4 linked regions of the Arabidopsis thaliana genome follow. The protein of the gene in region 4 purifies or fractionates together with the protein of the main gene of each other region. This does not show direct contact. Each region holds a gene or a part of one and is shown on either strand. Other genes may lie near its edges.

Region 1 (5,378 bases), on a different chromosome or scaffold from region 4:
GTTGCGAAAAAGACACTATCAATATTAGCGGAAAGTTACAATAAAAAGATACAAAAAAAAAATAATCGTCAATATTTAAACGGAAATTTGCGATATATGAAACACAACCGAAAAACAACCGTCAATATTATAACGGAAAGTTGCAATAAAGAGATATAACCAAAAAAAAATAACCGTCAATTGTTTTACGAAGTTACGATAAAAAGACAAACGAAAAATAACCATCGATATTAACAGAAAGTTACGATGAGAAAACACAAATAAAAAGTAACGATAAAAAGACAATAAAGAAAAAAATAACCGTCTATATAAATAGAAAGTTATGATAAAAAGACACAAACGAAAAAAGTAGTTATCCCCACCAAAAAATAACTGTTAATATTAAAATGACTGATACAAACGAAAAGTTGCGATAAAAATGTACTAAAAAAAAAAATAACCGGCAATGTTAGCGGAAAGTTACGATGAAAAGACATGAACACATAAATAATCGTCAACATTTTTAACTAAATGTTGTGATAATAAAATACAACCGTTCAGAACAGCAAAACACAATTTTTTGGATTCATCATAAAACAAATAATTTGTGGTAAAAGACTTTACGTCATTTGTTCTCTTTTGGTTTTTTGTTCACCTGTTTGTTTGTTATAGAAGAAAGTGACTTTAATGAATTAGCGATGAAACAATTATAAATGATTCGATGACACTACAATTTCACTATTGTTGATGAGATTGAGACAATCATATAATTTTCTAACAGAAGAACAAGAAAGCTTGCACATCTTAAACGGAAAAAGTTGTACTACTGAAGACTAAACTCGTCGTTGGCATATAGAAACAGGACAAATAGTTCGAAAGGAACTCGATCAAAAACTGAACTGCCATACTCAATATGAAAAAAAAAAATGGCAATAATTCAAAACAAAAATGATTTATGGTTGAAATTTGAAGACAGTTACTCAAAAAGTGTTTGGCTCCAGGTAAACTTATGGTTTATAAGAGAAAGCATCATATCAGATTGGGCATTGATAATTAGGTGTAACACAGAAAAGTCGTCATTCCAGCTTGACACGATCCATGTCGTTGATCACACCTTCAAGCTGCGCAATGGAGGAAAAAAAAGAAGAGCCAAAGATCAAAACAAGAGTTCATGTGCACTAGTCTTAGTTTCAGTTTATACAACATACCTTGGCAATCTGCCGCAAGAAGAAATCACCATAACGTTTTGCGGGTTTTGATTCGACAACGTAGATCATGTCCTGCAGTGTCACCAGGTTTAGAGTTGTTACAAACGTTGTAAAAGCACCAGAGTATAGATATCAGAAAGACAGAGAGAGAAGAAAGAACATACGTTGTTGATGAAGAAATCAATGTCTGCATTGGAGATGATCCTACCATCGGAATCAACTGAATGGGTCTTGTGCTTGTATGTTAACAATATGGTCCTGCAAATTAAAACCCCGTACATGTCAAAGAAAAAGAGAGAAGTAGATTTGGTAATAATAGTTATAAGAATGCCCATAGTTAGTCCCTGACCTTAGAGTGGGCTCATCAACTTCCATGTAGTTTGCGAGCTTAGCAAGAGAAATGGAGGAGTAGACTTTCAGGAAAGTCCGCACTCCCGACAAGAGCTGCTGCTGCTTTACCTCGTAAAGGAACATCTTCAGCTGAAGCCTGTATGCATCCTGATTGTAATTGACAAGAGGTTCCTCGAAAGTTGGTGGTGCGGAAGGGGTGATAAACTTGGGGCATGCGTAAGAGAAGAGCTCATCATAAATACCAAAGGCCTCGTCGTCAGACCTCAGCATCCTCATCATCTTTTCACCATACTTGTCTCGCAGCTGAGAGTTGACAGACTCGTCAACGAGTTTAGTTTGAGGGCAGAGGGAGAGGGAGAGAGCAAGCAAAGCGTACATCTGCTCATTCTTCTTGAGTAATTGCTCGTACTGAGGTGACTTTTGATGGTACTGCTTAGTCTTGAAAATGTAGAGGAGAATCTTGTTGAACTCACGAACAGCATCGACATACCTCCGCAACATAAGGGTGGCAAATCCATAGTGGTAGATAGTAGCGATATGGCAACCAATGACACTGGTGTAAACACCTGGCTGAGTGATGTCAATGGGCTGCAACCATTTGAGAGCAGTGTGGTAGTCACCGAGGAGGCAGTGAACACGCAAGAGACCGACCATGCTGAAGTAACCGAGGACCTTCAAGACGTTGCTGCCACCGCTGAAATCGTAGCCATCAGTCTCAGTGAACTCAAGGCCATCCTTGTCATGCTCAAGGATCTGGATGATACAAGACTTCTCCACAAGTGCTTGCAAGAAGTTGAGCACGCCATAGACATTCCAGGCCTTATCGTGCTGTCTGAGCAATGCAATCTCCTCCTCTGTTTTGTTCTTGAGCTTTGCTCTGAATTGACAGAAACTTTGGAACTGGTAGACAAACTCATCCACCATATCCCACAACCACTGGTTCGGCAACTGCATATTCACTACGCCGTGCAACACAACCTAGAAAGAACAAACGGAAGAAGGTCTACTTACTTGTATTTATTCCCAGCCAATACATACACAAAAGAAATCAAAATCAACAACATCTCTATCTAACAAGGAAGAAGAAGTAGAAGAATTCCACAACAGACCTGAAAGAGGCTGCAATAGTTGTCATAAGAATCAATCCTCTGCTTCAACGTCGGAGACAACCTCGCATACAAATGTCGAAACCACATCTCACGGTACAGAAGACAGAACACATGGTCGTTGTCTACGTAAGGAGCAATCGCTTCCACACTTGGCCACGGCGTGTCCTTGAACAGACGCTCCGATATGCTCTGGAACGATGTCTCACACATCTGGTGGATCTCGTACACGTTCTTATCCCTTATGTGTCTGTACATGTGTGACACGAACGACTTCACCGAATCCGGCACCATATTTGGGTCGTACCCACTCTCCCTCTCCCCCGGACCTTCCTCATACTCATTGCTGCTCGCCATTCTCGCCGGATCAATTCTTAGCGGCCGCAACAATGTTAGCTCTTAACTCACTACCACCGCCTAGGGTTTCCTTATTACCACCGGTTCTATCATCCGGTTTCGTTTCCTTATTACCACCGGTTCTATCATCCGGTTATGTTTTTTTATAAAGTCATTTTAATAAAACTTTCTATGGTTCGGAAAAAAAAAACTTCACATAATCATCGCTATTCTCTCTCTCTCTCTCTCTCTCTCTCTCTCTCGCTCTCATATTTGCAGGTAAAGCTTCGTTGATTCGTCCTCTTTATGTTCAATTATAGTTTCGCATCCCTCCTATGTCTTTCTTTCTAGATCTTAAAGCAGAGTCATTGCTTAACCCTAATTATCACTGTTCTTGTATAAAACACTTTTCACCTAATCATTGAGATTGTTACGGGATCTGATAATTGCGTCTGTGAATTACAAGAAATTAGGGTTTATTTCTTCTTGATTTTAGATTGATCTTTTTGCAGTTGACAATTCGTTCTCTTTGGGAAATTAGAGATGCAGGTAAATTGCTTAATTTTTTTTTTGTTTTGTTGCAAATTCTCTGTGTATGTTTATGATTTGATTTGATTTGATTGATGTAATAGGCATCAAGAGCGCGACTGTTTAAAGAATACAAAGAGGTACAGCGAGAGAAAGTAGCAGATCCTGATATTCAATTGATCTGTGACGATACCAACATATTCAAATGGACCGCTCTTATCAAAGGACCTTCGGAGACTCCTTACGAAGGCGGTGTTTTTCAGCTTGCTTTTTCTGTTCCTGAACCTTATCCTTTGCAACCTCCTCAAGTTCGATTCTTGACCAAGATATTCCATCCTAATGTTCATTTCAAGGTTTGCATCTCTTTTTATAACAACCTTCTCCTGTGATAAAAGGAAACGCAGGTTTTTTAGTTAGTACTTGGGAATTTTGTAGACAGGAGAAATATGTCTCGACATTTTGAAGAATGCTTGGAGTCCTGCTTGGACGCTTCAGTCTGTGTGTAGAGCTATCATAGCATTGATGGCTCATCCTGAGCCGGACAGTCCTCTTAACTGCGACTCAGGTACAAAATGCTAGTTTAGTGTTTTCAAAAATGTAACCATGGGCGTTCGGGTATTCGGTTTGGTTCCCGTTCGGTTCTAGTTCGGTTCCGATTCTTTCTGTTCTCGATTTTAGGATCCATATAGGAACCGAAACAGTTTCAGTTCGGTTCAGGTTCGGGTTCGGTTCTGAAGTTTAGGATCCATTAGAATATTTTATTTCGAATATTTCAGATATTTTTTGTCTTTTTTTCCGGATATTTTGGTGTTTTTATATATTTTTCCTTATTTGGGTATTTTTGATTATTCAAACTAAAAATAACTAATATCTTTGGATATATAATCATATTTCGGATACGCAAAATATTTTGGTTCGGTTCGGGTTCAGTTCTAATTACTTTGGTTCTAGAATTTAGGATCTATTTGAGTAGTTTACCATTTCGGGTCGGATTCGGGTTGCTTCAGTTCGGATTCGGTTCTTTCAGTTTGATTATTATGCCCATGCCTAGTTTTTATAGTAAGCAACTGTTTTTTTTTTCTACTGACGCTTTTGTTGTGGTTGCTATGGAAAAAAGGGAATCTTCTAAGATCTGGTGATGTGAGAGGGTTCAATTCAATGGCACAAATGTATACACGCCTCGCCGCTATGCCTAAGAAAGGATGATGATGATGATGATCCTCTTGCTTTTTTTTTGTTTTTTTTTTTGAAATTTGTAATGATATTGATTTGCGAGAGTGAATACATTATTAACGAGAAGAAGATGATTCTTCTTTATTAGTTCACAATATTACAATCTGTCAAGTTGTCATATCTTCTTGTTTAAGGAATTTGTCAAACCAGTCTGATGATTCTTTGATCATGAAACTCGTCGCTTCGTGTCCAACTCCATCTTCTGCTTTGAACTGCTCTCTCGAAACATCAAAAGTTTTTCTTTTTCAATTCTCTATCTGGTTGCAATAGTGTTTAAAGGTTAGATCAGTGATTTACCTTGAAGTTTCCAGGAGAAGCTGTTTCCTTATACGCCTTTTCAGCTCTCTTTAACGCAAGTTCTAGTCCGCCAAGAGGACATCGAGGATCATTTGCGCCTGCATATGAAATCCGAGAAAACTTGTAAGTTTGTTGGTAGTTAGTGAGATCATACATATATATTGATTGTGCTCACCGTTAAGGATGTAAAGAGGCCGTGGAGCAATCACTGGTAATGAGTACGGTGAATCAAACTTCGAAGCTAGGCCAGGAGCTATTCTGTTCCACACCTTCTCGACTAGTTCTTTGTCGATTATGTTCTTTCCGAGATCAATCCTTGCTTCTGGAACCATAGAAGAAG
Region 2 (6,765 bases), on a different chromosome or scaffold from region 4:
TTAGCAAAAAAAAATACCAATTGCTTTAATTTGTTTTTTATCCCCTTTTCCATTGGTTGATTATTATCTTTACAAAAAAAGATAAAATAATGTTTTGCTCTCACATGTTCACATGTGGATCGAAATATTAGTAAAAAAAAACTAATATGATAAGTATTATTTGACACATCTCATGATCTAAATTAAATTCCATTCCTTTTCATTTCCTTAATTCCACAATATGCAATTATATTTTTGTTTTTTCCCCCTTAATTGCTCTTGTTCTTTCAATTTTTTTTACATATTTTGCTCTAATATGTTCTAATAGCATTTCTGATTTTTTTCCTTCTTTAGAAAACTTTGACATATATAAATAATTAAACAATTATGAAATTGTCAAGCATCTCGAATAAAAATGGGGTAAAAAAACCTTTTCTAAAAGGGAAAAAACCCAAAAAAAATTTTAACTAATTTTTATTTGGACGTTTAATTCCCAATTTTGGGTTGGGAAAAAATAAAGTAATAAAAATGTGCAATTTAATACCCAAATAATTAAATGTTGTTATTTTCGATCCCACAACAAAAATAAAATTCCAATTTTACTTTACCATCTCAATTGATTATTAATCTTTAGATTATATGACATTAGTTTTATAATTTTGGATAAAAATAATTTTATTAACATATTTGTTTATGGTGTCTAGAAATTTAAAATTTTATTTTTATTATAATTATTCTATTTTAAAATTTAACATAAAAATTAATGAAAATCAAAAATATTTTAAATTGGCCGGTAAACAATTTGCGTTCGAATTTAAATCTTTCACGAATCAAACTATTTTTGACAAAATCTCAATCCGAATCTTATCGTCTTTTTCAATATTGACGGTTACTTTTTCACATTTCAAAATCTCAATATTAACGGTCCTTATAGACTTTTACCAAATCCACCATGTCCAATTTCATTGGTTGAGTCTAGAATATTTGAATCTCTTCTGGATTAGTTGCGCTTATTGCTTGTTTCTTTCTGATCAACTCGAACATGAATCATGACATTCCCGCACTCAAAAAGTGTTCGATGGAATGTCGGATCTACTAATTGCAGTGATACTCGTCTATATCCCAAGGCAATTGCCATTTAGAGCGTGTATTGGCTTTAACAAGTTGATTTGATATTGCCTGCTTAGTTAGAGATCGCTAATGGTGATTAGGTCAGTGTCTAGCTTTACTTGAGGATTTCTATCACGGTAGTGAATTAATCTGTTACTGAACTTGTTGTAGGGATAACTTATGTGAAGTTTTATCAACCATCTTAATAGATTAAGGAGATCACGCTATTCGATTACTTCATCCTTAGGAATCTTTTATCCATTTGATTGTCTGTTATCTCATCTGCTTTGTTATTCATCTACTTGCTATTGCCATTTCACATTTTAGTTTCATTTCATTTATGTTAATCGACATTAAGATTATTAGAAACTGACAACTCTCTGCTTGGCTTGACTTAGTAAATTCTGATTATATCTCATCTGTTTGCATCACACCAGATTGGATTGACAACCTTAAGTATTACAACGATATGATAGTGTTTTAGGAATTGATACCCTAAAAACCTATTATCACCAAGCTCGAAGACATCCCCGGGAGACACAAGCGTACGGTTGCTTTGTTGCCGCAACGTTTCAAAAGAAAACAACGTATTCGTATGACTTGAAGGTGAAGCAATCCAGCAGGGGAACCATGTGATAAGAGAGCACATGTGCGGGAGAAATATGCACGTGTGACGAGATGCTAGAAGAAAAAGAATAATATCTGCAATAGATGCAAGTGGGGATTGCTGCTTATATAGATGATCTCATTGTTTAGAGATTCTTTATGCTGATTGATGTAGAAGCTTCTGCGTGAGAATGGTAGATGATGAGCTAACCAAGATGATATGTTAGGCGTCTCCTTTGGTTTGTACATTGATCGGCGATAAGTTAATCAGAGTTTGGTGGCTTGATACTTATCACCATGTATACGTCGAATAGTTTTGGAAGATGATGAAAAAGATTAACTCCTGTGTATTCTGTAATCAGCAAGAACGAAGAACAGACCTGTAGTTACTATGATACATAAAAGTCAAATAGCAATTTATTCTACTTTGACTTTAAAACCATTCTGTTGGCAAGTAGTGGTGACTTAAAATTTTCATAACCTTGAATACTTTCAATGTTTTTGAACTAGCAATTCGAAAGAAACTCGAGATTGGTTATAATCTTCAGTGCCATACTCAATAAAAAAAACTAGCAATAATCCATAAGAAAGATGATTTATGGTTATCATTTGACCACATGAAGACAGCTACTCAAAAAAGTGTTTGGCTTTAAGTAAACATATGGTTTATAAGAGAAAGCATCATATCAGATTGGGCATTGATGATTAGGTATAACACAGAAAAGTCGTCATTCCAGCTTGACACGATCCATGTCGTTGATCACACCTTCAAGCTGCGCAATGGAGGAAAAAAAGAAAAAGACCCAAAAATCAAAACAAGAGTTGATGTGCACGAGTCTTAGTTTCAGTTTATACAACATACCTTGGCAATCTGCCGCAAGAAGAAATCACCATAACGTTTTGCGGGTTTTGATTCGACAACGTAGATCATGTCCTGCAGTGTCACCAGGTTTAGAGTTGTTACAAACGTTGTAAAAGCACCAGAGTATCGATATCAGAAAGACAGAGAGAGAAGAAAGAACATACGTTGTTGATGAAGAAATCAATGTCTGCATTGGAGATGATCCTACCATCGGAATCAACTGAATGGGTCTTGTGCTTGTATGTTAACAATATGGTCCTGCAAATTAAAACCCCGTACATGTCAAAGAAAAAGAGAGAAGTAGATTTGGTAATAATAGTTATAAGAATGCCCATAGTTAGTCCCTGACCTTAGAGTGGGCTCATCAACTTCCATGTAGTTTGCGAGCTTAGCAAGAGAAATGGAGGAGTAGACTTTCAGGAAAGTCCGCACTCCCGACAAGAGCTGCTGCTGCTTTACCTCGTAAAGGAACATCTTCAGCTGAAGCCTGTATGCATCCTGATTGTAATTGACAAGAGGTTCCTCGAAAGTTGGTGGTGCGGAAGGGGTGATAAACTTGGGGCATGCGTAAGAGAAGAGCTCATCATAAATACCAAAGGCCTCGTCGTCAGACCTCAGCATCCTCATCATCTTTTCACCATACTTGTCTCGCAGCTGAGAGTTGACAGACTCGTCAACGAGTTTAGTTTGAGGGCAGAGGGAGAGGGAGAGAGCAAGCAAAGCGTACATCTGCTCATTCTTCTTGAGTAATTGCTCGTACTGAGGTGACTTTTGATGGTACTGCTTAGTCTTGAAAATGTAGAGGAGAATCTTGTTGAACTCACGAACAGCATCGACATACCTCCGCAACATAAGGGTGGCAAATCCATAGTGGTAGATAGTAGCGATATGGCAACCAATGACACTGGTGTAAACACCTGGCTGAGTGATGTCAATGGGCTGCAACCATTTGAGAGCAGTGTGGTAGTCACCGAGGAGGCAGTGAACACGCAAGAGACCGACCATGCTGAAGTAACCGAGGACCTTCAAGACGTTGCTGCCACCGCTGAAATCGTAGCCATCAGTCTCAGTGAACTCAAGGCCATCCTTGTCATGCTCAAGGATCTGGATGATACAAGACTTCTCCACAAGTGCTTGCAAGAAGTTGAGCACGCCATAGACATTCCAGGCCTTATCGTGCTGTCTGAGCAATGCAATCTCCTCCTCTGTTTTGTTCTTGAGCTTTGCTCTGAATTGACAGAAACTTTGGAACTGGTAGACAAACTCATCCACCATATCCCACAACCACTGGTTCGGCAACTGCATATTCACTACGCCGTGCAACACAACCTAGAAAGAACAAACGGAAGAAGGTCTACTTACTTGTATTTATTCCCAGCCAATACATACACAAAAGAAATCAAAATCAACAACATCTCTATCTAACAAGGAAGAAGAAGTAGAAGAATTCCACAACAGACCTGAAAGAGGCTGCAATAGTTGTCATAAGAATCAATCCTCTGCTTCAACGTCGGAGACAACCTCGCATACAAATGTCGAAACCACATCTCACGGTACAGAAGACAGAACACATGGTCGTTGTCTACGTAAGGAGCAATCGCTTCCACACTTGGCCACGGCGTGTCCTTGAACAGACGCTCCGATATGCTCTGGAACGATGTCTCACACATCTGGTGGATCTCGTACACGTTCTTGTCCCTTATGTGTCTGTACATGTGTGACACGAACGATTTCACCGAATCCGGCACCATATTCGGGTCGTACCCACTCTCCCTCTCCCCTGGACCTTCCTCGTACTCATTGCTGCTCGCCATTCTCGCCGGATCAATTCTTAGCGGCCGCAACAATGTTAACTCTTCAACTCACTTCCACCGCCTAGGGTTTCCTTATTACCACCGGGTCTATCCTCCGGTTTGCTTTTACTACTAAATGAACGATTACCACCGGTTTGTTTATATCTCGATTTATTTTTCGGTTGTTTATCTATTTTACCGAATTAGACCAAAACTGAATCGAAATTAATTTTGTGTACTCTGACTCTCTCTCAAATCTCAATGTCTCAGCTTCTTCACCTTCACCGTCTCTCTCTTCCACAATCATCTCTTCGTTTCAGATTCCCGCCTTTACATCGCCGACGTGCAGCTTCGTCGCCAACTAACTCAACTCAACCCCCCCTGCAGTTTCGTCCTCTCACAGTCTCTAGATCTCAAATAACTTGCAGATTCAGCCAATCCGGTGAGACTTATCGTTTTTTCTTTCTTTTTTTCGATCTAATGAAACATTCCAAGTGATTGTATTAGATTCTTAGCAACATCTTCTTCATCTTCAACGAAATCATTGTAAGTTTTGCAGATATTACGCCACAATTTGAATTGGATAAAGCAAAAGACAATCGAAAACCACAAAAGCGAGCAAATGGCATATTTTGGATCATACTTATCAATCTGGGCATATATCTTGCTGATCACTTCTTTCAGGTATGAAAGCTTGTCTTTAGATATCAATCATCTACACTGTAAAACGTTATTCGTGTAATCCCATCTCTTTGGATTGTGACGTGCTTATCTTATCATACGTTTTATATTGTTTATTCGATTTAGGTTCGTGGGATCAAATCTTTGTATTTGTATCACAATTTTCCGGCATGGTATCAGTTTGTGACGGCTACATTCTGTCATGCTAACTGGTGAGAGAGCTCTCTTCTTTCTTTTTTACTTTGGCACTGTTCGTTTCATAATCGCTAGCGGCTGTGGCTGTGGCTGCGATTGCGATTGCGATTTTAAAATCGCAGGATGTTGTTCGTTTACCAATCGCTGCGATTAATCGCCATTTAAAAAGCCGCGTCGCTCTTTTTTCATGCGATCAAAAAATTCAGTCGCAAGCCGCAGCGATTGATCGCGCGATTAGTTGCAGGATCTTGCGACTGTCAAACGATCAACTTTCAGTCGCAGTCGCAGGCATCCTGTGACTACCAAACGAACAACACTTATGATAGTTTTTTTCTCTGTGGCTTATGTTGATGTTTCTCCTGATTCTTGGTTTTTTTTTTATGTATCATGTATGATTCTAGGAACCATCTCTCCAGCAATCTTTTTTTCTTGTACATATTTGGTGAGAGTTCAAGATTTTCTCATAGTTTGAATTTCTAGCTAGTTTATCGATTCAGAGAGCTAATGGACACATTTGGGAATCAGGAAAGCTTGTTGAAGAAGAAGAAGGAAACTTTGGTTTGTGGCTCTCCTACTTGTTCACTGGTGTTGGAGCTAACCTTGTTTCTTGGTTAGTTTTACCGAGAAATGCTGTTTCTGTTGGTGCCTCGGGAGCTGTTTTTGGGTTATTTGCTATCAGTGTCCTCGTCAAGGTACTGTAGTTTTCTTCTCTCCTTGTAAATCAAACTCCTCAGTAATATCTTGCTAATATTCAACTTCTTTTGATTGTCTAGATGTCTTGGGATTGGAGGAAAATCCTTGAAGTTCTTATATTGGGTCAGTTCGTTATTGAGAGGGTAAGATTTTCTCAAAATTTACTCACAGCATCACTACCGTTATAACCGTATTCCGGCTTACAGTCCCATCTTCTTATGAGTATAATGAGGTTTTTATACAATATATGAGAGAAAATGTCTGATGATGTATGCAATATAGAAGCTCTTCGAATTCAGGGACGATAACTGTTTAGTTAATTGATCTGAATAGGTAATGGAAGCAGCTCAGGCGTCGGCTGGATTATCAGGAACTATATATGGTGGATACTCTTTACAAACTGTTAATCACATTGCGCATCTCTCTGGTGCTCTTGTTGGGGTTGTTTTAGTTTGGCTTCTCAGCAAATTTCCTTCGGCATCTATGGATCAAGACGTTAAAAAGTCCTCGTAAAAATGACGAGACAAAACTTTTCGTGTAAGGAACATACTAGCTGTCCAGTGAATGCAAGGTAGATGAAACGATTGATAGATTGACAAAATATCCTTGTAAAAAAACTGAAGAACGGTCTCTAAACCGAGCCTTTGTGAGTAGTCTTTGCTATAGAATTCTGTCGCTAGTTTGTCTATGTTACTCTCATTGGTTTACCAATGCCACTAAGCATACGCAGAAGTAAGTGGATGTAGTTGTTGAGCTTACTTTTTGATTTCTATAATCTGTTAGATCTTACTTTTAATTAATAAAATCATTGTCTTAAAGCATACAACAACTTCAGTCAACGCATAT
Region 3 (4,648 bases), on a different chromosome or scaffold from region 4:
GTTATGACTTTATGCCATTTTATTCTACCATTTTTGTCTACGCTTTCGTCATTCTCGGTGTTACCAATCGAGCCCATGACATCGGTAAACATGAATACACTATAATGCATTGCCTACGCATATGTTTATCTTTAGTATTTTAGGCTTTAGCTCATTTATTTTAACGTTAAAGAAGTGTGAAACAATCTTTTAATAAATGCAAAAGTAGAAGCACGAAGGAATAAAAAAGGTATATACCGCATTCCTACGCGTATTCTATATGTTTGATTTTCTAGCCATTTTAGCTTTGGACTGTCACGTGAGTCGTGACGCTCTACCCCCTAAATCTATGTCTATAGTAGTATGTACATATCAGACACATGCATGAGGCACCTATATATTTGTAAATAAATTATACACTATATGACGTATGGATTCAATGATACCAAGAGTTTTTGCTTGTAACGCCCAAGATTTTCGAAACCTACAATCTAGGATCTAAATAGTGTACCTCCAGTTATAAATTATATTTGTCGCTCTAGATAAGTTAGAGTAATGGCCAAATCTCGATAACAATTTATTTGTGATCTCCTCACATGAATTTCTTTGGAACCAAATTAATCCCAAACGATAGGATTCAATAATCAGTTAAAGTTTTGTAGTATTCGATAGTGGGTTAGAGTAATGTAGTGATGCAAACAAGAGTGCTAATCTATTGGGTCTATACATTGGATCAAATTTAATATATGGGCCGAACTATCATACCAAGCGTCATGCTTTGAAGAAAGTAGTTGAACCAAGCCATTATACCCTTTTAACTACTAACTAACCCATCTCAAATATCCAGATTTAAATTGGTGTCCATATTATATGAAATAAGTTAAGACTGATTTGCCAACAAGGCAACAACACCTTAATAAATTTAAACATCTAACTGAAAGAAATGTATTTAATCATCCAACTAGGTACATTTAAGAATAGATCACATTCATAATTTTGTTATTATCATTTACAACAGTCATCATGGATTTGTCTTCTCTTTGATCCTGTCTTAGTGTCTTGAAATCTTTGAGCATTTCTTCTTCTTCGTCTCTTATAATATATTTAAAAGGTTATATATTTACATATATACAACTTTGATTTCGATACTCTTGAGAATCCAATAATGAAAGCGAAAGTCATAGAGAAAGAGAACTGCTTCGTATGGTTGGTTAAGGCTCCTTTTCGTCTGTTGATCATGGCACGTGACGCCTACATACGAAGCATTACGTCATGCTCCGGCGCCGGAATTTATTCCGGTGGTGGATCATCTGGTTTTGGTCAACTCTCCGGAAACTTCCAAATCTGCGATCCGCCTAGCACCGCCCTTCCTCGAAGCTTTACCTTGACGTCGGCGGCACATGATCAAGGCTGTCTGACACGTGGCGGACAACCTACGATTGCAATGAGACAATCATTGTCCTTGGATCATCGGAAGAACAATAGATGCGTTGTTGTGATGGGAAGAATAGATGAGGAGATGTCTTGTGATGATGATGATGAGTTTCAAGAAGAAGACTCTTTTCTTGATTATGGTAATTGCGAGATTCTTACAAAAGAAATAGAAAAACCATCTGTTGACCAAAAACATAAGCCTCTAGGACGATTTTGATTTTGATTTTTAGGTTTATTATTAGGTTGTTGCATTGTGCTTATTGAGAAATATGGATCAAACACTTGAAAAGAAAAATCATTTTGTATCATTTAATATTATTTCTTGTATTACTTATAATTGATGTTAAAAAAAATTACATACGATTCTAAAAGTGGTGATGCAAATAATTCACATTGTTTTGTTAACAACCAATGCAGTTCTACATGATTTTAATATCATGAGTAATTTCTAAAAACAAATTACAACAAAAATTAATTTCTTTTAACCACAATAACTTCACAAAATTACAAACATAAAATACAAATTCAAAACCACAAGCACAAAAAATAATAATTTAGAAAGTTTATCAATTACTATTTTTGCTGTAAGAAAAAAAGTTTCTCAATTTTATTTTTGTCTGCAATATCTTTACAGATTCCAAAACAAAACAAAAAAACTATCTTTTTATTTATATATATATATATATATATATATATATAAATGTAAACTTCCTCATAAGTAAATTAACAAGAATATATATCAAACAAAATCTTGTAATTTTTTAATATAAATAAAGCTAAACCTTTACGAAGAAGAAAGACTCTGGTGATTGATTCTCCAAAGTCTAAACCTAGTAAAAGCCAAGTCTCATTCCTCGGGTGAACTCAACAACCGACGATGGCAGAACTAAGGTTATCAGAAACTCGAGACTTAACTAGGATCGAAAGAATCGGAGCACACTCACACATACGAGGTTTAGGTCTCGACTCAGTACTCGAGCCACGAGCCGTATCCGAAGGAATGGTTGGTCAAATCAAAGCACGTAAAGCCGCCGGAGTAACCCTCGAGTTGATCAGAGACGGCAAAATCTCGGGTCGGGCTATACTTATAGCGGGTCAACCCGGAACGGGTAAAATCGCAATAGCAATGGGTATAGCAAAATCACTTGGACAAGAAACACCATTCACTATGATTGCAGGAAGTGAGATCTTTTCTTTAGAGATGTCAAAGACTGAAGCTTTAACTCAAGCTTTTCGTAAAGCTATTGGTGTTAGGATCAAAGAAGAGACTGACGTGATAGAAGGAGAAGTTGTGACGATTTCGATTGATAGACCTGCTTCTTCTGGTGGTTCTGTGAAGAAGACTGGGAAGATAACAATGAAGACGACTGATATGGAATCTAATTTTGATTTGGGATGGAAATTGATTGAGCCATTGGATAAGGAGAAAGTACAGAGTGGTGATGTTATTGTTTTGGATAGGTTTTGTGGGAAGATTACTAAGCTTGGAAGATCTTTTACGAGGTCTAGAGATTTTGATGTTATGGGTTCAAAGACTAAGTTTGTGCAGTGCCCTGAAGGTGAGCTTGAGAAGAGGAAGGAGGTTTTGCATTCTGTCACACTTCATGAGATTGATGTTATTAATAGCAGGTTTGTTTCTTGATCTTGTTCTGTATTTGTCAATTGCTTAGTTTTAGGTTTAGGTTAAAAAGATTGCTTCTTTTTCACGTATTGATGCTTTTTCAAGTTCTTATTTGGATTCTTGTTTTCTTTCTGTTGTTTGCAGGACTCAAGGGTATCTAGCCCTCTTCACAGGTGATACAGGCGAGATTCGTTCAGAAACCCGAGAGCAAAGCGATACTAAAGTGGCAGAGTGGAGAGAAGAAGGGAAAGCTGAAATAGTACCTGGTGTTCTCTTCATTGATGAAGTCCATATGCTTGATATCGAATGCTTCTCTTTCCTGAATAGAGCTCTCGAAAACGATATGTCACCAATCCTGGTCGTGGCTACAAACAGAGGAATGACAACAATCCGAGGAACAAACCAGATATCAGCACATGGGATCCCAATCGATTTTCTTGACCGTCTTCTTATTATCACAACACAGCCTTACACACAAGACGAGATCAGAAATATTTTAGAGATCCGTTGCCAAGAAGAGGATGTGGAGATGAACGAGGAAGCGAAACAGCTTCTGACTTTGATCGGATGTAATACCTCGCTTAGGTACGCGATTCATCTAATCAATGCAGCTGCCCTAGCTTGCCTGAAACGTAAAGGGAAAGTCGTAGAGATTCAGGACATTGAGAGAGTTTATAGATTGTTTTTAGACACCAAGAGATCGATGCAGTACTTGGTTGAGCATGAGAGCGAGTACTTGTTTAGCGTGCCTATAAAAAACACACAGGAGGCTACTGCAGGAGAAGAAACAGAACACGAGGCCATGGAAGTTTGAGAATTTTGTTTTATTGCTTTTTCAAGAACTTATTTTTTCACCCCATTTTGTCATGGACTCATGGGACATGGTTGAACAAAAGATGGAATTTTTCAAGTTTTCGAGTTCTCATTGAGAGATAGACAACGTTTTGTACTGTGTTTTTGACGGAGCGATAAGATGGTATGACAAAAAGGTAAGATTGTGGAGACGTTTGAAGGGTTAATTGGTAAGGCTACCTAAGTTCTCACCTAATGTTTGTATTCAATTGGCTGATTATGGTGGAAAGATGGCGGTTTTGTGGGTCGAACAATCTCCTTGTAGTAACAACGGCTATAAGAATAAGATTTGGTGCGCGGAGATTGCTCTTGAAAAACAAGAAAGTTGTGAAATTTGGGGAGAAGTTGAGTGGTTTGGTCATGTGCTTACAGTTCCTTCAACATGTTTTGTTGCCAAGGTTATTGCTGCTACTGTTTGATGATGAATGAATGTGTCACAAAGCTTAAATATGTTTTTTTTTGGTGTATGCAGATATGATGATGACATGGCTTAATTTTGTCTCTTTTATTTATGTGACTGCTTTTACTTTCGTACGATTTCTTCATCCAAAAAACAAAACCCAGAAAAATCGATGAGTGACTCATCATCAGTCATTGTCCGAAGCTCAAATTTCATTGTCGTGATTCTCTTCCTCAACCTCGTCACTTTCTTCTCCCTTGTCTCCTCCAATGAACTTGTCTTTGGTAAGTTTGTGTCGGAATTGAATTATACTTTTAGGGCTTTCTTCAATTCTTTATGGGACTCGAATTTTGTAGTTTAGA
Region 4 (7,000 bases):
AAAAAATCAAAGCATTGGCTTTCTCATTGTAGAGATATTGAAAGATGGAATCTTTGTGTTGGTTTTATGGGTTTTAGAGTTGATGTAATTGGTTGCTTGGTGGCTCAGTAAAGCTTTGATTTTTGTTTCTGTCTTCTAGGTTTCTGGGTTCTTTGTTTTTTTTGGCTTTGGCTTTGGCTTTTGATGACCATGTGAGAGGAGATTAGGGGAGAGAGAGAGAGAGAGAGAGTCTCTTTTTCCTTTTAACGCTTCTGAGCCATTCAGTTCTGAAACTGTACAATGTTTGATTTACTGCAGCAAATTACAATAAATATTTATTGATTGAAAGATTTTAATAAGAGTTTATTTGTTGTTTAGCTTCCTTTTTACCACCTACTAGCTACTAGTGACCTTTGAATCTTATTCCAAATAAGTATGTCTCTAATCTAGTTTAAAGTCTAATCTTGTTTTTAAAGTCATTTAGTGACTTACTTTGTGTAACATTCTGGTTTAGTAGTTGGTTACTTTGGAAATTGGGTTTAGAGAAAGATACAAACTTTCTTGCACTTACTTGATTGTTGATACCAAAAACATGTTTAGGAAATTTAACCAATAACGGAATTACTAAAGATGAGCTATAAATAGGAAAAAAAAAAAAAAAAAAGGCCAGAGAGAGAGAAAGAGTTGGAGGAAGTGAAAAGGAATCTGAGATTGGTGGGGGAATGGGAAGATTGTGAAGTGTGTGTTTTGACCACAGTACAGTCAAAATCTCTGTCTGTCTCAGGGTTTTCTAATTTCTATGACCACCATCACAATCTTTTTGTCTTCATTTCATTGTCTTCAAGATTCATGACCCTTTCTATATAACACAAGTTTTTTAATTGTTGCCGTTTAGGTCCTACTGATTTGAATGATGAAGAAGATCATTTACATGCCTGTTCTTCATTTGCTTTTATAGTGAGCAGCTAACTTTGTTTTATGTGGACTCTTTCAGATCAAAGAGAGAAAGATCAACTGCAGATCCTTAAGGTACGATGTTGTTACAGGAAAATTGTTGACTGAGAAAGAAAGGGAGAGAGCTCAGGTGTGTATATGTGATTGTGAGAGGGGCCATCAGGAAAGTACCAACAGAACTGTAAAGATACAACAAAAATCGCGAGAATTGAGGATATAGCTACTCTTGATGATGAGACTTTTGAGATATCTCTTCATGAATCTTGTGCTGAATCTTCAGTATTGTCATCATCAGGTAAACCAAATATCCTGAGATTACGGTCCATTGAACCGACTGCTATGTATTTGGAGTCGAGTCCAAACTTAACACTTGTTGCTTTACCTGCACATTTATGTAGTTACAATGTCTGAATGATAGACTCAATAAAACAAGGAAGAGCAGTGACTTCAAAAGCTTAACATGTAGCATTTACCTGTACCGGACAGATCGGGAAGAGTCTTGATTGGGTTCCATTCTGCTTTTACACTAGCTGCTTGGAATACTCTACAACATTGAAGCACAAGTTTTCGATTAGTATGATTTGCAGAAGAAACGTATACATATACCCAAACTGCATTTCTGGTGATAGCAGGTTAATTGAGTTTGCACAACTATCTTTCAATATCTCGTTATCAAAGTGAGCTCCTATATCAATTAATTCCCAACATTGTGTATCAAAGTAGACCTCACCTTATATCTGAAGCAGCAATGCCAAGATAAGATCCGCTATGGTCAAACTCCACTGCACAAAAAAAGCTCATTCAGGCCTTAAGAAATGAAAACTCACTCAACAAAATAGACTAGTAAGAGTGCTCAGGTAGTTGAATACCCGAGTTTGCATCTGGAAAGTCAAAGGTTCGGAAGTTCTTTAACTTGCGCAAGTCCCACAACCTAACACCATCCAGTGCAGCAGTCTGTACAATTTAAAGAATAGTAAATATTGGTCAGTCAAAAGGAACCTGGTGCTATCCTTCTTTCTACTTAGTTTAGGTCAATCAGTCAATGTACCCACCGCAAGGAAATAACCGTTTTCAGAGAATGATATAGAGGTGATTTCTCCATTGTGTCCACCAAACTTTGCCACATTTGCCTATCAAACGACAGAGATAGAGATGAGAGTGAAGTGAGAACAAACTTACAAGTGACAACAGTTGATGAGCAAGGAAGGTCAAAGAGTTTTTACCTGACTTTTTACATCCCAAATCTTAACAATAGATTGAGCGGTACCAGTTCCAAGAATGAGACCATCAGGATGAAAAGCAGCAGCCGTGTAATTCACGTCGTTTTCGGAAGCATCTGTCACCTGAATAACAACAATAATGAGAAAGACGCATGGCAGAAACATTTATTCTAACGAGTCTAATTCACATTACAATAAAGAAGGTAAATGTTTCATTGTTATATTAGCATAAAAGAAGAAATCTGAAACTGGATAACAGGTATCAGGTGTGGATTAAAATTTTGGAGACCTGAGCAAGGCATAAACCGGAGGACAGATCATAGAAGCACCATGTACTGTCAAGTGATGCTGACACAAAGTATTTATTCGTTGCGTGGACAGTTACAGCTCGCACCTGAAAACCACATCATTGCTTTTACGTTAAACAGACCAAAAATAAATAAAACGTAAAACTGTATGAGACTGTAGCCTGTAGAAGTTCTTCAGTTACATCCTTACCTCGGCAGAATGATCTTTCAGTGTATGTCTAGAGGTATAGTTCCCATCCTCGGAACATCCCCAGATGCGGACTGTCTGCAGAGTGTTAAGAAATGAGAAGTTAATCTCTTCACTACTACTCCATAAAATCATGCAATCCTCAAAGGAGCTTGTACACATAACCTTAGCTTACCTTGTCGGATGAAGCAGTTAACACAAGATCAGTGTCACCAACGAACTTGATGCTTGTAACCTGCAAAAGGAACAATGCATGTCAAGCACAAAACTACAAAGGAAAAGTTAAAAAAGAAAATGAAATATAAAAAAAGAATACAGTAAAAGACAGACCTTCTTTGAGTGACCAGTCAGCGTTGATAAGATTTGTCCTGAAGGACGATCAAAGAGAACGGCAGTTGTATCAATTCCTCCCGTAGCGATGACATCCTGATTACCACATATAACGAGAAATTAAGAATAATACTAAATAGAGAACAGACACAGGGATTCATGGTAGTGTACAAAATCTATATACTGAAGAATAATATTGATAAGCATCCAGATGGGGATTCATGGCAGTGTACAATATAATGTAAGCGCAAAAGTAAACATGTCACTATGACGTTCAATGCAGTGACTTCTCAGGACAGAGAAAAACTACATAAAGTGATGAATGGAAAATAGAGAAGTTCTTAGGTGTCAAACCTTAGAATGTAGGATGTCCATTGAAAAAATTCCAGGTTTGTTGGTCTTGTGAAGGGGGTGGCTTGAGAGTTGGGTGAACTTCTCCAGAGCATCGACTGAAGCCAATGTTTTAGGGATCTAGAGAACCAATGAGGAGAAATTATTAAGACAGAAGAACCACTCGCAAATCTAATTGAACTCCAAAAGTGCAGATATCCATTGTATGTTACAGACAAACTATATATATATGTAATTCTCTTTTGCCTTCTATTTCCACTAATATACTGATATATGCAGTTACCTGTCTCTTTTTACGCTGCTGAGAAAGAGCAGCATTACAATCTGTGAGTTCTGTGATAACTTCAGCCGAAATTCCAAGACGCATTTTCTTTGCATTAGGCCCCTGCTCACCATCATCGATACCTATATTGCAACCAAAAACATAGTAGCTTGTTATAAGAGAAATTACCACATAGCCAACTTACATTGAGAAGCAAACGTGCAAGCATACCTCGTTTACCATTACTAAGAGCAGCATTCGATGTGGCAACTTCGGGGGCTGCAGGCAACTGCCTTTCAGCCTCTGCAAGCAATTGTCGTGATTCGTCTCTTTCTTTTTTAAGCCTAGCAATCACACGACAAGCAGCATCATGCTGCAAAGGAAAAGTGTATCCCCCATCAATCACCTTTTATCACAAGAAATAAATGGAAACATCCAGGAAAAGAAACTAGAATACATAATAGATATTTGTAATTCATGTAGTCTGATAAGGTGGTGGCAAATGCACCTAACCATAATTACCTGATACAAAGCGTGACTTAGCTCTTGCCTCGCAGTATGCAGTTGTTGTTCCAAAGCAAAATTTGATAGCATCAAACTGTCCCATTCCTACAAGCACAACAAACAGATAAACTTTTTAAGCATTTCTTTTGCCTAAAGTAAAAATAACCAGCGAACACTTTCGTCTTGCTATTAGTAACAAATGAACATATAATTCAATGTAAAGAGTAGAATGCAATCTGCTATGTTAAATAACTCAGATAGCGATGCATACCCAAATCAAGTTCATCCATTTTAACTCTATATGATCCTTAATAGACAGAGAACAAAATTCAGAAACGAAAAAGAAGGTATAGGGAATACAAAATAAGAACTTACAGTCTGAAACGTTCCAAGCAATCCAGGGATGCTAGCTGTGTGTAATGGTTTCGGCTTTACGATCTGCAAAATGGTCCCGGAGATCGAATCAGGCTTAAATAAGTTTCTACAAACAATGCTGTGTGACAAATAACTCCAGTGGTTGCATTACCTTCCCAGTTTTGATGGGAACAATGTCATCAAGAGTATGTGGCTCACCAGTAACCGGGCATTTCCCATAATCCTACAAGGTACCAAAAGCAATCTATAAATTATCACAACAAAGTCTGTATTAAGAAAATATCTGCAGCAAATAGAGAGGTGCAAGAGGCTAAACAGCTGAAAACCCTAGATAAGAGTCGAACGAGGGAGAAAAGAAAAGAACTTGCTTACGGATATATGCGTCTGGATTAGCCGCTTCTCGTAAAGCAAACCCGACTTCTTAGAAACCACAGGCTCCTCCGGAACTTCGCCGGAAACTGTAGAGGAGAAAAGACCACAGTGTTACCGACAGAAACAAAGCAAAATAAAACCCTAAATCGGTAAATAGAGAAGAAAGAGTGCCTTACTTGCACAATTCATCTTCTAAGTATAAACGAAGAAGAAGAAGTATACGCAGGACTAGAAGACTACTCGGTGAATCTTTAAATAGACTGGGCTAGGGTTTTAACTACTCCGGTCCGGCGCTACTAAACAAAATCGCAGAAGCCGGGAGGACGATGAAGACGGAAAGAGAGAGAGATGCAAAAATTGTTTAAGCTTAGGACAACAAGTTAGAGATTTCTTGTTAAACAAATGGGCCTTTTAACGAGACCTTGATTTATAACTAATTAGGCTTTTTTCTGAAGCCCATTAGTTAAACTATGTATGTTCGTTCATTCTTTCTGTCTGAGAAAAGAAACTCGAAAGTATAATTCTTACCCTTTTTTTTGTCATTCTTTTCTTTTATTTTTTCTGATTACAAATTCTTTTAAAGTATAAGGTAGGACAACGATGTACGGGCCATTCTATTTGCACGTACGATAGATGTGTTCTTTATGAACAAAAATTAGTCATAGCCGAAAAGTAGTATTCTCATAAAAAGCATATTTAGTATTCTCATTTCTCAACAATTAACATAGCCGAAAAAAGAACCTTATATGAACAAATCATTGGTCATACTATATTTTCATTTTTTATTAAAAAAAATTAGACTTCCGATTTATATAATATTGTCTGAGAGTTTGGTATTATAATATATTTGTGATAGCTCTGCAAAACTTAAATCATCTCGTTTGGAAAATGCGTGTGTGTAACACTGCACTCAAAGGCCAAAGCTTTTGCCGAAGATGCTCATATATATCTCCAAAGTATCGATTCATCAAATCAGCTTTGATCTCAAGCTGTTTCTTTTTCCTTTTGCCACCAAGTTGCTATTTTTTTCTTTCTCTTCATTCTGTTCTCGTTAAATGATTTCTTGCAACCTCATTAATTTCCAATTCTTAAACGTATGACCATGTTTATTTTATCACATACTGTATATAAGTTTAAAAAATTGCCTGAGTGGTGATATGTATTTTATATAATACATATAGTATATGTACATATTGTTAAACAATTTGAATGAAATAAAATTTTGGATAAATATCAGGAGAAAAAAAACTTAGATAGTCATGCTAATGATTTCAAATAATGCTTCATAGAGTTGGGGACCAAATAGAATGTTGATAAGTGATGTGATGATGTCCCGTTCCCAACCATGACCAAAACAAATAAACTAAAAAAAGCTAGAGGAGAACGAAAAAAAAATCGTCGTAATTACAATAGTAATTAATTAATGCGTATAGTCAATGAAAGTTGTTTTTAGAAGTTTTGAAGTGAAGGGATATTTTGAACTTAGCTGAGTAATAGTCCATGAAAGTTAGATTATTCACCTAGCTGACATTTTTTCATAGTTTGGGAATTCTTTATACGAAAAAAAAAGATAAAATAAAGGTAAGACCATGTTCGTAAAAAATTGTAGTTTCATATATGGTGTTTTTTTGTTAAAGTTTCATATATGGTGTTGATGACTATATAATCTATAAATCACATTGGTGTACCTTTATTTACGTTATCTAAGTCGATATATATTCCGATCTATAAAAGTATCTTTTCATTTGTATGATCAGTTCATTATTTGGTTATGGTTGTAAGGAAAACAACATATATAGAAAACGACAACTCGAAGCATGGTATGCTAAAACTATCACTGTAACGAATTTTTATCGAGAGAAACCATCTTGATATGAAATTTGTAGTTTCCGAATTTAACTAAGCATCACGTAACATTTTTTTTCCCCTCGAAATTTCCATAAAATAAATACATTTGACTTAGTACGATCTTTATCTCTTATTTTCAAAATTTTCACTGACCTGGTCTCTTTTTCTCCTTCTCTTCTTTTCCACTTCTTACCAGCATTTAAAAAACCCAACCAAGTAAATAAATAGAAAATGAAAAATTAAATTGCTAAAAATAAAATAGAAAAGCCAAATTCTATAAATAGAAGGCTTAATTTAGCACAAGTTTCAG

Evidence for each region.
Region 1: the proteins of MAC3A (region 4) and AT5G25757 fractionate together in Arabidopsis thaliana (co-fractionation; one large-scale study listed by BioGRID). This does not show direct contact.
Region 2: the proteins of MAC3A (region 4) and AT5G25754 fractionate together in Arabidopsis thaliana (co-fractionation; one large-scale study listed by BioGRID). This does not show direct contact.
Region 3: the proteins of MAC3A (region 4) and AT3G49830 fractionate together in Arabidopsis thaliana (co-fractionation; one large-scale study listed by BioGRID). This does not show direct contact.

Annotation. Positions count from the first base shown.
Region 1 is NC_003076.8:8,964,460-8,969,837, forward strand, and holds AT5G25757 (RNA polymerase I-associated factor PAF67), read right to left. Parts: upstream 3,182-5,378; 5' UTR 3,002-3,181; coding exon 2,648-3,001; intron 2,517-2,647; coding exon 1,537-2,516; intron 1,446-1,536; coding exon 1,352-1,445; intron 1,260-1,351; coding exon 1,188-1,259; intron 1,101-1,187; coding exon 1,056-1,100; 3' UTR 686-1,055; downstream 1-685. Other genes in the region: PEX4 (peroxin4), read left to right, coding at 3,524-3,529, 3,613-3,861, 3,944-4,073, 4,626-4,714; AT5G25770 (alpha/beta-Hydrolases superfamily protein), read right to left, coding at 4,849-4,953, 5,039-5,136, 5,214-5,360.
Region 2 is NC_003076.8:8,951,170-8,957,934, reverse strand, and holds AT5G25754 (RNA polymerase I-associated factor PAF67), read right to left. Parts: upstream 4,561-6,765; 5' UTR 4,372-4,560; coding exon 4,018-4,371; intron 3,887-4,017; coding exon 2,907-3,886; intron 2,816-2,906; coding exon 2,722-2,815; intron 2,630-2,721; coding exon 2,558-2,629; intron 2,469-2,557; coding exon 2,424-2,468; 3' UTR 596-2,423; downstream 1-595.
Region 3 is NC_003074.8:18,480,093-18,484,740, forward strand, and holds AT3G49830 (P-loop containing nucleoside triphosphate hydrolases superfamily protein), read left to right. Parts: upstream 1-2,156; 5' UTR 2,157-2,290; coding exon 2,291-3,042; intron 3,043-3,178; coding exon 3,179-3,848; 3' UTR 3,849-3,888; downstream 3,889-4,648. Other genes in the region: AT3G49820 (uncharacterized protein), read left to right, coding at 1,145-1,630; AT3G49840 (transmembrane protein (DUF2215)), read left to right, coding at 4,459-4,570.
Region 4 is NC_003070.9:1,224,780-1,231,779, reverse strand, and holds MAC3A (MOS4-associated complex 3A), read right to left. Parts: upstream 5,298-7,000; 5' UTR 5,032-5,297; coding exon 5,019-5,031; intron 4,929-5,018; coding exon 4,843-4,928; intron 4,694-4,842; coding exon 4,622-4,693; intron 4,534-4,621; coding exon 4,471-4,533; intron 4,201-4,470; coding exon 4,114-4,200; intron 3,965-4,113; coding exon 3,823-3,964; intron 3,735-3,822; coding exon 3,613-3,734; intron 3,450-3,612; coding exon 3,333-3,449; intron 3,075-3,332; coding exon 2,979-3,074; intron 2,884-2,978; coding exon 2,824-2,883; intron 2,727-2,823; coding exon 2,652-2,726; intron 2,548-2,651; coding exon 2,443-2,547; intron 2,277-2,442; coding exon 2,157-2,276; intron 2,064-2,156; coding exon 1,986-2,063; intron 1,888-1,985; coding exon 1,803-1,887; intron 1,716-1,802; coding exon 1,664-1,715; intron 1,478-1,663; coding exon 1,407-1,477; coding exon of another isoform or gene 1,401-1,406; intron 1,316-1,400; coding exon 1,188-1,315; 3' UTR 833-1,187; downstream 1-832.